Linked DNA regions of Solanum lycopersicum. Each later gene encodes a partner of the first gene's protein in a complex. Links are inferred from orthologs where the notes say so. Each region holds a gene or a part of one and is shown on either strand. Other genes may lie near its edges.

Region 1 (2,647 bases):
TTGAGCGTGCTATGAATGGTAAGAGAATTTCACAAAGAGATGAAAGCAAGTGGGTCCAGGTCCGAAAAGGCACTAAAATAATTGTGCAAGTTGTTAAAGAAGGATTGGGTACGAAGGGCCCAACACTGACTGCTTATCCGAAATTAAGGAGCAGATTCTGGGTATTACATGTTTCATGATCATGTATTCTGTGTCTTACAGCTGAAAGTCCATTATTAGAAAACCCAATCTAATTGGTTCTCCTCTTCCCAGGTTTTAGTTCCTCGCGGCAACACGATAGGTATTTCAAAGAAGATTGCTGGTGTTGAGCGCACACGTTTAAGGGTCATTGCAAAAACTTTACAGCCTCAAGGATATGGTCTTACAGTAAGGACAGTTGCAGCTGGTCATTCACTAAATGAATTGCAGAAGGACTTGGAAGGGTTGCTTTCAACTTGGAAAAGTATAATTGAGCATGCAAAGTCTGCAGCTCTTGCCGCAGATGAAGGTGTTGATGGAGCAGTTCCTGTCATGCTTCACCAGGCAATGGGCCAAACACTTTCTGTTGTTCAAGATTATTTTAGCGATAAGGTCTGCTCATTCTCGGGTCATTACTTCATAATTTGTTCAGTTCTTTATTTTTTAGGCAACTTCTGTTCATGGGCTTTCTCAAATTAGCATGAAAACACAATTTTACTTTCTTACTCTAGCACTGATTTTCAGGTGAATAGTTTGGTGGTTGATTCTCCAAGGACATATCATGAGGTATGGACTTAGCCAGTTATCAGTCAATGGAATGAAAAGATTTTTGACCTACAAGCATGATTGCATGTCTTTCTCTTGCTTTAATGTTCCTCTAGGTTGATTTTTCACATGGAAGCGGTTTTACAATAGTGAGTGGTTTTTGGTATGAAGATTTGCATATACTGGCTATGAATGAGATTATCTTGGATTAAATTAAACCCAAGTTAATGAAACATTTAAGAAGTAAAATTAGCTTGTTTAAGAATAGCGCCCAGTGTGTGCAATGATGAGTAGCACTGCAATTAGTATCTCAGTACATTACGTTCTTATGAATAGAACTGATGACATTGATTTTCGTCTTTAAACTATAAGGGCATTTGTGCTTTAAGTTACAAATATTTTCCTTTTTGACTTTAAGTGTCCTGATTCCTTTCGCTTCACACAGTTCAGCATATAGTCGCGGCATAGTGTTCCACAACTTTTGTCGTCTTGTTGTGTCCTCTTTTATTCCAACTCTGCAAAAGTTATTTTGGAGATCTGTCATACACCAAATAGTCGCGGTTTGTGTTCCACTACCTGTGGGCTAAAATTGGTTGAGGAATTTTTTTAAAATTATGGTGTACCTTAATATAGATATATTGGACTCTGTTCAGGTTACAAACTATCTTCAAGAAATGGCACCTAATCTTTGTGAAAGAGTTGAGTTGCATGGTACAAGAACTCCCCTGTTTGATGAATACAACATTGAGGAAGAAATAAACAACATTCTCAGCAAAAGGTGGAGATCACTTTGTTTCTTTCTTTTAGCTTTATGTCTTTTATGACATGTATTTTAACTTCTCGTGAGTCAAAACGTTTCATGTTTCATTGATATTCCTCCTTAATCCTTTGATTTATAAAATTTGCAGGGTTCCCCTTGATAATGGAGGTTATTTAGTGATCGAACAGACAGAGGCTTTAGTCTCCATCGATGTAAATGGTGGACATTGTGTGCTTGGTCAAGGGACTTCACAAGAGATGGCTATTCTCAATGTTAACCTTGCAGCTGCTAGACAGGTATGTAGACCTGCATCTATTTTGATTACACATTGTATTCCAAGAGCATAGTCTTTCTACACCTGGGAAAGTTGGTTATCAGAAAACAAACTAGGATATGCTTAGAAGATCCTTTTTAATGAATTAGAAGATGCTTAGCGTTTGATGGAAATACTTCAATCCAACACTAAAATATGTCTCTTGACAAGCTACACTGCTTCTCTTTTTTCCTGTGGTAGACAAGGCCTCATTTGTAGCCTAGTAGTATCTTGTCAGATCCCAGAACAGAAGAATATTCTGTTGATGCACCTTCTATGGAGAATTAATTCTTTAAAAAAAAGAAACTACACAGGGTATCATGTCCATGTTGCCGTTTTAATCTGCTATTGGTTTGGACATAGCATGTCTGAATTACGTGCTAAACCTCTATTTTTTTTTCTTGGAGGGGATAACCAAGACATCCCTGAGCGTATGTGGATAATGTGCCCGCTCTCTACCTTTCTTCAGTTAAATACCACGCTTTTGTCATAGGAAGGTTCGATCTCTTCACGTGTCTAACCCACACATCACACATTGTGCTCTTACCACTAGACAAAACCAACGGGGATAATCTGTGGTTGCTTTTATGCACCTCTATTTAAGTCGCGTTAATTTGATCCAATTTAGCAGTCAGCCTGGGCTGCAGAATTACACACATTTTTAAAGAAGGAAGGAAGCAGAAACCAATCCAAATAAGCAAGTATCCATCATTCGAATTCAAAGAAATACTGCACTTCTAGTTTCATTGGGTGTTTCTGGTTAGATTTGAACCTTTTATCTGAGAAACCGAGCTAGTTACTGAAATGTACGACAACACAGGATTACATTGGATCTTTTTTGTTGATAAAGA
Region 2 (4,121 bases), on another chromosome or scaffold:
CATCATCAGCCATCTCATCGAACACATGCTTATCTGAGAAAATAGTCTCAGTGTCAGAATCAACCTTACTTCTGGGAATTTGCCCAAGTTCAAGGTCCAGATGTATGTCATTTTCCATCTTATCTGTAGCAGAAGAGGCAACAGGGTTATCAGTACCTCCCTCGTGATAAATAGGCTGAAATTTGATTCGCGGAACTGGAGATCTACGCTGGAAGTTTGACTTAGGTCGGTTAACAAATGGGGTGCCACTTTCTTGTGCCACATGGTTCACATTGCTATTTAGTTCAGTGAGATTGCTAGCTCTCTCTTCAGAGAATACATTGCTCTTATCTGGCTGGTCAAGGACAAAGTTGCTACTTCTACTGCTACTGGTTTTCTTCCCTTTCTGAACTGAGTGTTTCCTTAAAAGCTTGAGAAGGGAATCAACAGTTTCACTCTCTTTACCCTTTCCTTGCAACTCTTCAGACTTTTTCTCCTCCTTGATAGCAGCTTTTTCCCGAAGCTGAGCCTGGACCTTTCTAAATAGCTCAACAATCTCCTTTTCCCTTGGACCTGGAGTGGCTGTAGCTTGGAATTTCGAAGTGTTTGATGTAGTAAGCAGTGGCCCATTTCTTGAAGATATCATTTCTGATTCTTCTATATTTTCATAACCATCTCTGTCTTCATTTTGCCTGTTCCGCCCCCTGGAGAAACCATGCTTGTTTTGCCTCGAAAAATCTGGATTTCTTTTATGATTGCTGAAGCTACTAGCACTACACATATAAGATGTGCTTTTGTAAGGAGATTTCAAGTTTAAAATCTTGACCTTGGAAAATTGCTGATATTCACCACGAGAAGTGACTGTCCTTCCAGACAGTCCTGAGCAGGGAAGACATCTGCCTTCTGGGGATTTAAACCCTGAAATAGTATAATAGCATATATGTAAGTGTTTAAATTCGATTTTACAGATACAAAAAGAAATTAACTTATGCATAAGAGAATGTTTCTAAATAGCACATATGTAAGTGTTTAAATTCGATTTTACAGATACAAAAAGAAAAAAAAAGAACTTATGCATAAGAGAATGTTACTAAATAGCTGTTTCTTTGTCAACGGAATGATCAACATGTTGGTCACGACTGATGCACTTACATTGCAGCTGAAGCTTAAAAATATGTTGAGCTCCATGTGAAAGGTTGACTAAAGAATAGGATCACAACTGTATAGGGATAAGATGCATAATCTCAGAAAAGTTACTTTATTTAGATCTTCTTCCAAGTAAGCATTTCCATTTACCGATTCAAGAACACTCTTTGGGATAGCTGTACAATGTTATATAAGATTCCCTCCTATGCCTAACATTTTATGTATCATATGTCCTAAAGCTATCTACAAATAAGAAGTTAAAAAGTCATTAATTCTGCTTCTATAAGAAGCATTTGCATTTTAAAAATGATATAACTGTTGTCACTACAAGAATTAGTAGTATTAAAAATAACAGAAACGACTATTGCAATGAAAATAACCCTGACGTCACCATGTCAATCAATACCAACGATGCACATATCATACACTAAAATGAGAGGGGCAAAGAGTTCTAGAAATAGAATAAAAGCAACGAAAAATGGGGCTTATGGAAATACATTGTGAACAAGACAAGATCGGTGACACTGCTAGCACCTCACGGAAAGAAAAAGAGGCTGGAAGAGTTCTTGGCATGACCAGGGAATCTATGAGATTTTCTTAGTTTATGCTTACGTGTGACCAAGCTGATGTGTGAACTACTGAAACTTAAAGTAAATTGGAAAGGTCTGGAAACTAAAAAGAATCGGAACAAAATATAAGTTCCACTAAATAGGAAATTGGAGAGTTTGAAAAAAAGAAAAACTTTACTCCAAGAAAAGCCAATAGGTTGCCATACACACCAATAATCCTGCATATTTGCCACCTCAAAACCCCACAGCACCTAGAAAAACCTTCACATTTAAACTATTCCAAGAACATTGCAAATGAAACCACCTGCTCAAACTGTTCTAAAACAGTTCCACCACTTTAGCCGAATCAAATGCAGCCAAAAATAAACCATCTTGACACTGAATTACTCAAGGAATTCTAGCTTATGTATTTATTTATCAATAGCATCAATAATAAACATCATTCAATTCTTTGTTAAATGACAAACTACTAAGCATCATAATGAAAGCATCCAACCAGAGCAAAATGGATATAAAGAATTGAAGTAGCCGACCTCAACTAGTTATGTATGAAATAAAAGACTAGTTATCACTATTACCCTTATGATTATTTCCAAACTATTCTTTCTTAGAAAATATCAAGTAGTCTCAACAACTCCCTTAAACTTTGAAGGATTCACTTATTTTGGATTATGAACAAATTCGTAACAATTCACCTAACATGGAAAAGAGGAGTAGTTTGCAGTAGTTATTCTCTTTATTAGATAGTGTTCCGACATAGCTAGGCCGTTAATAAGATCCAAACTAAATAAAGTGACCTCTTTTTTAACAGAAACATTTCATCAAACACCTTGTAGACACCCCGTAGGACACCAAAAGTGATAAAACGAAGCATTCTTGTATCCACTCAATCAAAAGAAAAGACTTCATTAATGTTTTGTCTCTTTGAGAAATTAACTCAAACAGTTAGTGTGCATGTTCATGCCCAACCCAACGTGGAGCTCTTGCATATTGAACATAAACAGAACAAAAAAATTACCTGGAAGATTTTTGAGAGTGAAATCAATGGCGCTTGACATTTTTGGAATTTGAGAAAACATAAGAAATAGTTTTGCAGTCTCAATCAAACTTTCGCATTTTCGATTTTCGCCTTTCTACTAAGCTTCTTGTTACGTTTTTATATATCTTGCACACTGATAAGGGGAAGTTTTATATATTCACCATTTTTCTGGGGTCAGAAAGGCAAAGTATGAAATTTCAAAATCTAGTTAATTGCGGTCCGTTTTGGTTTTGAAATCTATCACTTTACCCCCTCATAGTTTTCATTTCTTACAATTTTTTTTTTTTATGTATTTTGGATTTGATCGGATCGAAACACAGCTTTTTAATTGGCTTATTATTTATTAGATTTCTTTTGGAAAAAAGAGTGAACATTGGAAAGTTTTAGCGTTTTTCAAATTTGTGATTTTTTAGTTGGTATCTCAAAATGTAGTAGTAATTTTTATGATTGAAAAATAATTAATTACGTAATTATATGTGAAATTACCATCCTTTTTAACTCCTAACACTAGCTATTATTGTCTTTAAAATACTTAAATTTGAGTTTCATATCATATGCAATACAATTTGTGACTTGGTGAACCAGAAATCGTTGAACTTGTAGAAGTTGATGTGAAAGACCAGGGAGCTAAAATTTGCTTTCATTGAAGGGGTCGGCAAAACTACAAAAGCTATTGAATCGCTGAGGAAAGAAATGCCCTAGCCGAAATTTGAAAAGGGCTACTTTCTTCAAGAAATGTTTTGAAAAACGTTTTGCAAATCAAGTTATTTCCTCAAATTTAAGGAAAATGACTCTTTTTTAAAAAATAAGTAAAATATTTTCCAATTCTACTGTAATATTGATTGTATCTAAGTTTGAGTGTCACGGTTGAATCCCAATTCAAATGTCATATCTCAGATCAAAAAGCTTGAGACAGGTCCTAGGTCAGATCTCACGATCACATTTCAAATCAGGATTGATCATCGAGATTGATTTTTGAGTCGTAAACTATTTTCCTAAAAATATTTTCTACTCGCTAGCCAAAAATAAAAAGATATTTTCAAATTTTTTTTTTCATTCACCAGCCGAACACTAAAAATATTCTCGAAAATATTTTCAACTATCAGCCAAACATAAAAAAGTAAGTTAGAAATAAAATTATTTTTCAAGTTAACATATTTTAGAAAAATATTTTTCTTTGTATCAAACACACCCTAAATGTGTTCAAGTGTTATTGTTCTTATCGTTGTACCTATTATATTTTCAAGGTTATGGATTCATATCTACTCTTTATTGCGACTTTAGTGATGGTTCAGACAAATGAAAAGAAATCCCTCAAAATAATTTTCTGAAAATTCCTCTCTTTGTCAATTGGCTTCAGCCTGAATAAAAGTGAATCATTGAAAATC

The links. The genes of interacting proteins can lie anywhere in the genome.
Region 2: ribonuclease E (region 1) and termination factor RHON1-like protein share a complex: the UniProt entries of both Arabidopsis thaliana proteins name them as parts of the chloroplastic degradosome-like complex. The link is inferred for Solanum lycopersicum from reciprocal best matches to the Arabidopsis thaliana genes RNEE/G and RHON1.

The regions. Positions count from the first base shown.
Region 1 is NC_090801.1:62,866,199-62,868,845, forward strand, and holds part of ribonuclease E, read left to right. Parts: coding exon 1-161; intron 162-252; coding exon 253-570; intron 571-702; coding exon 703-744; intron 745-1,376; coding exon 1,377-1,501; intron 1,502-1,631; coding exon 1,632-1,779; intron 1,780-2,647. UniProt on the Arabidopsis thaliana protein: Involved in intercistronic processing of primary transcripts from chloroplast operons. The endonucleolytic activity of the enzyme depends on the number of phosphates at the 5' end, is inhibited by structured RNA, and preferentially cleaves A/U-rich sequences.
Region 2 is NC_090808.1:61,806,804-61,810,924, forward strand, and holds the start of termination factor RHON1-like protein, read right to left. Parts: upstream 2,857-4,121; 5' UTR 2,774-2,856; coding exon 2,713-2,773; intron 898-2,712; coding exon 1-897. UniProt on the Arabidopsis thaliana protein: Binds to and supports processing of specific plastid RNAs. Associates via its C-terminal Rho-N domain to single stranded regions of 16S and 23S rRNAs or to rbcL mRNAs. May be involved in targeting transcripts to RNases such as RNE or RNase J.